Canis lupus familiaris: one gene and its partners. The protein of the gene in region 1 purifies or fractionates together with the protein of each later gene. This does not show direct contact. Links are inferred from orthologs where the notes say so. Each region holds a gene or a part of one and is shown in the gene's direction. Other genes may lie near its edges.

Region 1 (3,655 bases):
TATAGAGGTTTTAATGAAATCTTATTTCTTCCTTGTCTGTTAGAGTGCTCGTGCACAGAGCTCGAAAACTTGCTCAGCAATACTATCTCGTTTACCAAGAACCCATTCCCACAGCTCAGCTGGTACAGAGAGTAGCTTCAGTGATGCAAGAATACACTCAGTCAGGGTAAGTTGATTTTATTTGAAATGTGTCATGAATTAGAGAAAAGAAACTGTTTTAGAAGAGTGAATATATTTAAAAAGAGGACTTAGCTCTATTTAATAAGTAAAGAAAATCACTCTGATGAATATATCTAATCTCAGTTGGATCTAGAATATTTTCTTAATGAAAAAAGTAGAGTGGTTTCTTGCTGTCAACACAATAGCAGAAGGCAGCTTCTAGATAAAGTCCTTTAGCCCAGGGATTGAAACACTTAATTATGGGAAGGCAGTTATTCCTGCTTCCAAATTTATCTTTCCAACCAGAATGATTATAAGCACATGAAGAAAGCAATAGCTCTCTGACACATCTATATTCTTTTAATTTTCTGGAATCTGGGCTACATGTGGATGAGGTAGGATAAAGGGAGTTGCTGATACGTAAAGCAAGTGGAAAAGCTGCATTTGTTGAAAGTTGTCATTCTGTTAAGACACAGAATGTTAACTCCATACTTAACTAACCCCAATATTTGTGTTCCTCCATTTACCAAAATGATTTGACTAATGTTCCTTAGCACCATAAAGAGAATTCATTTTGAATTGATTTGTTCAGAAAGGTAGGAAATACTTTTTAAGGAACTTCCAAGTCTAATTCATTCTACCTGATGATTTGCTTTATTAATACTTAAGAGGATTAGTAAATCCTTAGGTTGACTTCACACCATAATTTCATGTTTTCTTTTCTTTAGTGGTGTTCGTCCATTTGGAGTTTCCCTACTAATTTGTGGTTGGAATGAGGGGCGACCGTATTTATTTCAGTCAGATCCATCTGTAAGTATCATCAGACATATTGGAGGGATTTGTTAAAATACTCTGCACATCTAATAAAAACGACCACAAAGTTTAAAATTTAGCAGTACGTCCTTTTTTCATATTCATTGGGACTTTAGAACTATGGAGTAGTGTATATTCATTTCCATATTTAAAATGTTGGTAATTCAGTCTTCTGATGAAAAGGGTACACTAGTTCTGCCCTCAGTTCTGGTGCTTTCTCTTATCCATTAACTTCACATACTTGAATGATTTGTTGAAATAGTTATCAAATCTCTTTAAATCGGTGGAATTTTGTTACTTTGACAAATGTGGTGAAAGCTTTGTGTCTGGAGGACAGTGCTGTACTCCTTGCCATCTGTTTAATCCTGGGGCTGACTTCAATGTCTCTTCCTGCACACACACACAGATGTAACTCTTGAAGCCAATGTTTTGCAAAGTGGGTGAGTCTGTCTCCTCTAAGGCAAAAGATAGGTATCTGAGTTAGAAGGTGTTCGTAGATGCTACTCCTGCTCCAAAAGTATCCTATTTGCTATGAGGAAAACTGGAAGAAAAAATTTCATGATTAGGAATGGAATTTTTAGAATTTGTGGATCATGAAATAACTGCAAGTTCACTCTGAGTCAGTCTTACACTCTAACCTTGTAGCCTGGAAAAGAAAAGAAAAATATTTTGGTTGTTTGTTACTTAAATGAGAGCAGCATTTTGGGAGGTAACAGTGTCTGTTACCCATTTCTGAGCTGCTGAAGCTAAATGACAAACCCTCTTCCCTTCCTTTCCAGTGGGGTAACAGAAGGCACCATCCCTGGGGTCCAGGATTCTTTTTTTTGCCCTCTCCCTCCGTTCTATCTAAAAGGCGGTTATTTCTTTTAAAGTATGTTTGATATATTTCTTTCAGTATTTTTCTTGTGTGTTTGCGTGTATGTATTTTTTCAGTAGATTAGGCCATGTTATATAAAATAAATTGCTGTTTGCATTTAACGTTAGATTACAAAATATCAAAACTATGAAATATTTTTAACGAAATGCCCTCTTTTTAATTTATCCAGCAATAATAAAGACTTGCTCACCGTTTTTCATCAGACTTTTATTAGAGTCCTTCAACCATCCTAGTAAGCTGAAATAATACTTTTGCTTATTTGCCTTAGGTTAACCTGTTCCTTTAACTGACTTTTTCACATAAATTGTACCATAAATTACACATATACAGAGTGTACAATTTGATGAGTTTTGATAGGTGTAAATACCTGAATACAATCAAAATAACTGAAGTTCCTCCATAACCTCCAGAAGTTTCTTCATGTCTCTTTGTTACTTTCCTTTTCTAAAAATAGCCTATTTTCTGACATTATCCATTGCATTCCACTAAATATTCTGTGAACTTAGAAGTCAGATACAAATTTATAGAACAAAAAAAGAAATGGCAGGGTGCTATAATTAGATTAAGGATTTAAAATATGGTTTTATGGTTGTCTTCTCTTCCTGATTAGGGAGCTTACTTTGCCTGGAAAGCCACAGCAATGGGAAAGAACTATGTGAATGGGAAGACTTTCCTTGAGAAAAGGTAGGCTTACGGTAACTAGATTGAGCAAGCTTACTTTATGGTTCTCAATTCTCTTTAAATAATTAATATCATGAATCTGATAAACAGATTTTTTTTTTACTTTATATTCAAACACTCATTTGTATAGTGTGGTTATAAATAAACAAAAACTTCTCTCCACCTTGGCTCCCTGGTCTTCAATATATTAAGTGGTAATATTATATATTTTTTAAGAAATTTTCTTCATTCTTACAGTTGTTTCCTAAATGTTGTTTCTATTTTGACTTTGTTTCTCCTCCTATAATCTAAAAAGATTTGGAGTAAAGAATGTGGGAGGAAAGTTTAAGTGAGTTAAGTGATAACAGTTTACAGTATAGCAATTATAGAAAATAATTGTGAAGCCAAATACCTGGTATTCATGGTAGATTAAATATATGATGTATGTGCTTGAGAAATAGTGAGGAATTATGTAAAACTCCGCTGTCACTACCCTAGCACAACAAATTGCTCTTCCTTCCAGCTGTATTCAGACTCAGCATTAGTAGCCCAAAGCATGTCTACATTTCGAATGGCAGAAGTTTGTAATTGCCTGTAACCCACAGATGAACCTTCTCAGTACATTTTTCACATAATGTTGAGATTACTAAAAATTGGGGCACGTGGGGGGCTCAGTTGGTTAAGCATTTGCCTTCGGCTCAGGTCATAATCTCGGGGTCCTGGGATCGAGCCCCATGGCAGGCTTCCTGCTCAGTGGGGAGCCTGCTTCTTCCTCTCTTCCCTACTTATGCTTTATCTCAGTATCTCTGTCTCTTTCTCTCAAATAAATGAATAAAACCTTTAAGGAAAAAAAATTACTAAAAATCTTAAACCTGAGGTTAATTGGTAAATTTAAATAATTCTAAAATCTTTTTTTAAAGCACCTTAATAGTGAGCCTTTAAACATTTCTAAGAAAAAAATAAAAGAAATTTTAGCAAAGGTCTGATTTCTTTATTTAAAACAATTACCATATTGCCACCACATTCTGATTACATTAAAATATTTATACTCCTGTTATGGTTACAAGCTTCATGATAGGAATGCATGTCAAATAATTGTCAGTTTCTTATTTGGGGACAGCTTATTTCAGTGAATGGACTAAAAGA
Region 2 (3,755 bases), on another chromosome or scaffold:
ATACTCTACTACACTATGCTATACCATCTGGCTCAAATCCTGACTGCATCACTTAGGAGCAATTGTACAACCTGACTGTGCTCACTCATCTCACTTTAAAACAAAGGTCATAATAGTTTCCACCTTAAAGAGTTAAGGGAATTAAATAAGATAAAATTGGCCAAATTGTCTGTTAAAGACTCAATACCATCCCCTTCTTGGGACACCTGGGTGGCTCAGAGGTTAAGTGTCTGCCTTCGGCCCAGGGCGTGATCCTGGAGCCCCGAGATCGAGTCCCACATCGGGCTCCCTGCGTGGAGCCTGCTTCTCCCTCTGCCGTGTCTCTGCCTCTCTCTCTCTCTGTGTCTTTCATGAATAAATAAATAAAATCTTAAAAAACAATACCATCCCCTTCCTACCCACCCTTTTCCAGAATGTCTTGCCAGCAGGATTCTGGGTTAGATCCAGCCAATGGGAGGCAGCAGAAGCACCTTATACCCTCTCCAATAGCAGTGGATCCAGAGTTTCAGTTCAGGTTTGCAGCCACTTCCTGCAGATTTCATCCTGAATACTGCCTTAGGACAAGAGGCAGCTGTGATCATTGCTGGTGCTCTCCTTCAGTTCCTGCAACTTCCAGACTCTCTGAAAGCTGAAGGTAGCTTTCCCTAATCTTTGCATTCCAACCCATCCAGTGGGTTCCAGTACTGAACACTACTAATCATAGAGGGATTCCTGGAGGAGGTGAGGGTGTTAGAATGATGCTAGGCCAAAAAAGCAGAAGGCCTACAGTATTGAATAACTCCATCTCGGTGCCCATTTGGGCCCTGCCCTTCCACTCACCTCTTCACAGTTTCCAGGGAGACAGTTTCCAGGGAGCTTGAGATCCTCACACTGCTGTCACTTGGCAACCAGATGCTGGTGGCTGCAGCCACCTCCCATGTTCTTTTCATCACCCTGAGCCCTCATCTCTGGCATGGGCTCTGCACTGCCCAGGTAGCAGGGGCCCACCTGGGGGAGGCATCTTCCATCTGCTTCCCTTCTCAGCCAATCACAGGCCTCACAGGGACAACCAAGACTCTTGATAGTGGTAAGTCCACAGAAAGTGCCAAATGGATGAAGGGCAGGACACAGACAACCCTCTGGTCCCAAAGGATCCTCTCATTTATTCTCATCCATGGAGGGCCCTGGGGTTCAGGGGTGGACAGAACACAGTACCAGCCTAAAGGGCACATAGCATAATGCAAGAGACAGAGCTTACCTCATTCTAGCAATACACGGGTGCCAGTATCTACTCCATGCTGAGTACTAGGACACAAACTACCAAAGGCATGGCTCGCCCTTGGGGAGGGGGGCTGGGGAATGAATAGCAGATGCCATGGTGTCCAGCTCACTTCTTAGCAGTCATCTCTAAGCACCAAAGGCTACTTCCTCTAAACTTTATGATTCTCTACCTGAGGGCTTTTCATGCCCCCCAGAAGCAGCCCTCAACGAGGGAGTGAAAAACAAAAAACAAAAAACAAAACAAAAAAACCTTATTTCTCTTACCCTCAGTCAGAACAAAACTGGGACATGTCTCTCCCAGAGTTGCTGGTCAGGACTGAGCTCAGGTGCCCAGAGGGACCTGGCTTCATCACATAACACCTAGTGGCTGCTTCCTAGTACACTTCTCTACCCTCTTGCTGCTATTTCCTAGAATCAGCTCCCAAATAAACCAGTCAAATCCCTGTCTCATGTTAGCTTCTCAGGGGACACTGACTAACACGGGGATGATGATGTATTACAGGGAACCAAAGTTCTGTGAGACTTAAGCTATAACCAATTGTCTGCAAAGCAGTGGCTGAACCACTAAGGATGGGTAAGGGAGCTATCTGCTATCTGCCCCGGTACAGGCAATGAGCGGGTGCATCTTTTGTAAGAAAGTTAAAAGTAATAATAAAACTGACCAGTCTGCTTTTAATTATAAACCAGCCATTCTAATGTTTCAATTATAAAATTCTCCTCCTCATCTCCTTCCCCTCCCCTGATGGCTCTTGACATCCCGTGCCTGTTCCTTAGCACCCCACTGATGCCAATTGAAGACAGAGAAATTGACTGTGGGCAGAGGAGATGGGGGAAGGCCTCACTCAAGAGGCAGCATTGATCTTCTATCACACAGTATTAGCCGCGTTTCACACCTCCATAACTTTGCATGTGCCAGTCCCTTCTATGGGGATACCATTTGTGCCTCAACTCCCTCCTACTCTTCCATCATGGTTTAGTGTAGTTGGGCACCTCCTCCTCCAAGAAGCCCTCCCTGACCCCGATCTGAATTAGATGTCTCCTCTGGGCTCACACAGACTTCCACGTGCCCCTATGTTATGATGGTCTTCACATTGGGTTCCTTTGTATATAATTTTCTTTATCTCTAGACAGTGGGCTCCATAGTGGCAGGAACTGGAGCTCGTTCACCTAAGCATTTAGGAATAGGGCTGCCATTGGGTGGGCACCTTTGTGCTGTGCACAGATTGCATCACCATCCGTGGTAACACAGCCTCTGGATATTTAGCAAATCAATAAATGAATGAGTGAGTGAATGGATTGGTGGAATTTTCAATAACTGGGGAAGGATACTTTTTTTTTATTGGAGTTCAATTTACCAACATATGGCATATCACCAAGTGCTCATCCCGTCAAGCGCCCCCCTCAGTGCCTGTCACCCAGTCTTCCCAACCCCCTGCCCACCTCCCTTTCCACTACCCCTTGTTTGTTTCCTAGAGTTAGGAGTCTCTCATGTTCTGTCACCCTCACTGATATTTTCACTCATTTTCTCTCCTTTCCCCTTTATTCCCTTTGGGGAAGGATACTTAAAGCAGAAGAGACAAAGCAAGCAAAAGCAGGGATGCTTAAAAGTGCAGAGCTTCTTAGTGGAAAGGGTAAACAGCTTTTAGGCCACAGGCAGTATATCTCAGGAGTCCACCAGCTTTAGCACCACCTAGATTGTGGTAAACATACCTGCACTCTACCTCAGACACTCAGAGTCTCTGCAGATGGGGTTCAGGAATCTGGGCGTCCCAGAGGAGTCCCAGGAACACAAAATTTGGAGCAGTATGGGGCCAGCTAACAAAGTGAGTGGTGAGCCACAAAGGGGTGAGACTGGCCCAGTTACGTCGAGCCCACACCAATAATTCATTCACTCAACATTCATTTACTCATTCATTCAATATGTATATGTTGAGCCAGGAAGGCACTTGAGTATACCTGTGCACTAGACAGACTTGCTCTCTGCTCCCTCGTCACAGTCTAATGGGAAGACAGTTATTAAATAAACAAGCAAACAAACAAATACCTGTTATAAGGTCAGGTTATGATTAATGCTTTGCAGGAAAGAAACCAGGATAAGGAAGGGATTAAAGAGTATTACACGTTATTTTGGATGGGTGTCAGGGAAGCCATCTGGGGAGGCCAGTAGGAGGTGAGAGAAAGAGTCACTTAAAATGAAGAAGTGAACCATGCAGATATTTGGGGAAAGAGCATTCCAGGCAGAGATAGCAGTAAAGGCAAAGACCTGGAGAACAGAACATGTGAAAGTGGAAGCCTGGTTAGGAAGCTACTGCAATCGTCCAAGTATGAGATGCCAGAGGATCAGACCAGAGTGGAGGCAGCAGAGGTGGTAGGAAGTGGTCAGATTCAGAATTCAGATTCAGACGGTAAAGTTGACTAGCTTTGCTTTTGAATTTGTGGGCACGAGAGGACAGAAGTCAAGGTTATTGCAGTTAAGAGTGCAGGGGATGAGGGAA
Region 3 (3,655 bases), on another chromosome or scaffold:
AAACCCTCCCAGCTGTGACTCTGGGTTGAGAAAGGAAGTCTCAAGTATGACTTCTTTTCTTCTTGTTCAATTTAAGTTTATCTTCTGTTTTTGTGGTACTATCATTGTGCTTCGTTTATCCTGTGGTTCCTCTAGTTCAGTTTTAGTTTCCTCCATCTGATATGATTTCTTTTCTTTGTATTTCCAGTTATCCCCTGCTCCTGTCATACCTTTCAAGATCTTTTCTTCAGTTTTAGTTATGTTTCTGACTTAATTGTCCTTTCATAGCCTCTACTATGACTTAAAATTTTTTTTACCTTAATTTGAAATCTGTTTACAGTTTTCATGTGTTTTGTTGGCAGATCTTTGGCGCACTTTTATTCTCTATAAAGACATGATTCTTTATCTGCTCTTATCTGTCCTTAGTTGTTCACACTCTTGGGGTAGAGCTCTGCCCTTTCGGGGTGAACTCTAACCGGTATTGTTATGCACACCCTCCTCTTCCATATTGCTCCTGTAGGACTCTACTAGTTCAGGCTCAGGTATTCATACTCTCAACTTATGTGTCAGTTGGGAGTTTGCCACTCTTTCTTCCTAGTTTTAATCTAAACTTAAGTTATGGGTGTTTTTATTGGATTTTTCGCTGCATTTTAATCTGCATAAGTTTTAAGAGAGGTAGATGGAATGTGATTCATACATATGACTTAGGTAGAAATACAGAAGCCTCTTTTTCAGTTTTCTGAATAGTTGCATTCCTAATAAATAAACAAAGAATATAAACAGACTGGTCAGGGTCCTATCTCTCTGCCTGTGTCTGATTCGGTTAGGATTCAGAGCCCTCCTACAATGTGAGAAAACCTGATTACCACTCATTTGTAGGGCAGCTCTGCGGCCCTGACAGAAGCTCTGGCATACAGGAGACTTATTTTTTCTTGTCAGCCACCCAAAAGGAGTGATCTAGACTATGGAACGATTTTGTCCTCCTGAAAGAGGCACCTGGATATTCCATGTCTTACTTCCTGTGATTATGATATAGTTCTCTGTTGTTTCTCTAGGTGAATGAGAAGTTTGCCAGAACTGAGGGGTGGGGGAGGATGTTAGACTGTCAGGGAAAAGAAGCAGAAAGACATTGAAGAGAGCCGAAAAATCTAATAAAGCTGCTAGCTCATGTCAGAAGAATTGGCATTGTACCAACAAAAATGCCTGCATTTTAATAATAGAAATTGTATACTGGAATACTAGAATATCAAAAACTAGAATTATAATTACACATGTAGGAAGTGTGATATTCTCTGCTAAGATTCCGGAAAGAGCTTTTCAAATAAATATTAAAATTATCCTTTGACTAAGTAACATTGTCAATTTTTTTCTGAAATCTTGAAATTTTTTTAGCTGAGAATTAGTGTATATGTTAAATTTATGGATACATCATTATTCAAACAAGCAAGTCAAGATTGCTCTTAATGTACTGCATTTTGTTTTTGGTGTGAGTATAACAAGCATCATTATAACAACATGACTTTTATCACATAGATTTTAGGAATGCCAGGGACTAACTCATTCTCTTAAAATAATTGCATATAGCAGAAATATCAGAATTATCCCCCATCCGCACTTCTACAGTACACAAAATCAAAAGTGTTCAAGTTTATTTTTTAAAAGTATGCTTTTGGATTAGTACTATTAGACGTGTGTTTCTCTGTATTTTGTCCTTAATCTGTATCACCTTTTCCCGCCAAAATCTTGTATTTTCAATTCGCAGGATTTGGGTTTTGGATTTGGTCTTTTGTTTGCTGCTGATTATATATTATGAGTATACCATAGTTTATATAATTACTTCCTGTTGTTGGACACTTAGGTTTATCAGTTTTTACCATTCTAAATAATGCAGCAGTGGATTACTCTTATATGTTTTTAAGTGTTTCAGTAAGATTAATTAGTATAAGTAATTTGTAGATCCTTGATTACCAGGAATGAATGTTCAGGATTTCTGATATTAATTTCCAAGTTATCTCTGTAATATGGTTTTAATAAATCATAAACTCTTATTAGTGCTAGTTATAAATGAATGCCAAACTAAAATCAGTATTCTGTCTTTTCTCAGAGAGTTCTGGGAAATCGTTCATTCATTTACAGATGAGCAGAAAAGACTCTTCTTGCAGTTTACAACAGGCACAGACAGAGCACCTGTGGGCGGACTAGGAAAATTAAAGATGATTATAGCCAAAAATGGCCCAGACACAGAAAGGTAATTATTAATTTTTTTGTAGTTTTACATAGAATTATCCAAATCACATGAAATATTAGTTCAGAGAGTGTTTTTCTATTACTGTTTGAGGAAATTTTTAACACACTGGCCTATTTCAAAACTATTACAGAGCTCACTTGATTTAAAATTTTGCAAATTGATATGATTCAATTTTTAGTTCATAATTTTTAAATTCAAGACCTTATTATGTATTCTATTTAAAAATGGTTGAATTGAGGCTTGGAAAATTGTTCAGCACTAGGTTTCATAATCTTAACATTTGAATCCAATTTCATAATCTTGGCATTTAATTTGTTCTCTATTATATAAGTTAATGTTTTTGTTGAGTAAGGATCATTCATGAACAGTAGTATATTTGAGGGTTTAAATATATAGAAATATATAGAAATGTCTGTGCCTCCCTTCTTTATTTCTATTAGCATTCCATATTATTTGATGTATTATTTGATGACTTTAATGTAAATTTGTTTATATTTGTTATTAAGTCATTTATATAACATATTGCCAAGAATATTTCTGACTGGCATTAAAGAACACAGACTTTGAAATCTTAAAAACCAAATTTGGGTATTCTCTCCACTTTAGAGTAAATTTGCTTCTCAGTGATGTCAGCTCTGTAGTGGGAATAATGATAGGTTTATTGTGAGAAGATTTAGTTAAGTGAGATCTAACAGTTAAATACCTGAAACAATGTCTGGTTTGTCATAATTCAGTGGATACAATATGTTATCATCAGTCATCACCATCTTCATTATCATCAGTATTGAGTAATATATAAGATAAAGACAAACTGATACTTGATAGCTGTACACAAAAAGCAAAAAGTTTGAGTTGCATTAACGTGTACTCTGCATTGCAAACCGTCTCAACTACAGGTACAATCTAAAAGTAGGACTTTTTAATGATGAGCATGTTCCCCATGATTTATTTTCCTATTTTCCCCCCCTTCTCCCTATTTAGGTTACCTACATCTCATACTTGCTTTAATGTCCTTTTACTGCCGGAATATTCAAGCAAAGAAAAACTTAAAGAAAGATTGTTGAAGGCCATCACTTACGCCAAAGGATTTGGCATGCTGTAAAAAAAAAAAAAAAAAAAAAAAAAAGAAAGAAAAGAAAAGAAAAAGAAAAAGAAAAAAAAGGAAAAAGAAATTTAAAATTTTAATAAATATAATGAGGGATAAAATTGGTGGTGATAGTGTCCCAGTACAAACAGGCTGTAAGATAGTGAACCACAGTAGTCACCTATGTCTGTGCCTCCCTTCTTTATTGGGGATATGTGGGCTGGAACAGCAGATTTCAGCTACTTATATGAACAAATCCTTTATTATTATTATTTTTTTTTTTTTTTGCGTGAAAGTGTTACTTATTCTTTCACTTGTATGTACAGAGAGGTTTTTCTGAATAT

What was found.
Region 2: the proteins of PSMA2 (region 1) and PSMF1 purify together in Homo sapiens (affinity purification with mass spectrometry; 3 studies listed by BioGRID and IntAct, with this or other methods). This does not show direct contact. The link is inferred for Canis lupus familiaris from reciprocal best matches to the Homo sapiens genes PSMA2 and PSMF1.
Region 3: the proteins of PSMA2 (region 1) and UBE3A purify together in Homo sapiens (affinity purification with mass spectrometry; 4 studies listed by BioGRID, with this or other methods). This does not show direct contact. The link is inferred for Canis lupus familiaris from reciprocal best matches to the Homo sapiens genes PSMA2 and UBE3A.

Annotation. Positions count from the first base shown.
Region 1 is NC_049239.1:7,336,629-7,340,283, forward strand, and holds part of PSMA2 (proteasome subunit alpha type-2), read left to right. Parts: intron 1-43; coding exon 44-166; exon of another isoform or gene 167-887; coding exon 888-969; exon of another isoform or gene 970-1,513; intron 1,514-2,459; coding exon 2,460-2,533; intron 2,534-3,655.
Region 2 is NC_049245.1:20,365,470-20,369,224, reverse strand, and holds the start of PSMF1 (proteasome inhibitor PI31 subunit), read left to right. Parts: upstream 1-908; 5' UTR 909-1,066; intron 1,067-3,755. UniProt on the Homo sapiens protein: Plays an important role in control of proteasome function. Inhibits the hydrolysis of protein and peptide substrates by the 20S proteasome. Also inhibits the activation of the proteasome by the proteasome regulatory proteins PA700 and PA28.
Region 3 is NC_049224.1:35,738,336-35,741,990, forward strand, and holds part of UBE3A (ubiquitin-protein ligase E3A), read left to right. Parts: intron 1-2,083; coding exon 2,084-2,227; intron 2,228-3,208; coding exon 3,209-3,329; 3' UTR 3,330-3,655. UniProt on the Homo sapiens protein: E3 ubiquitin-protein ligase which accepts ubiquitin from an E2 ubiquitin-conjugating enzyme in the form of a thioester and transfers it to its substrates.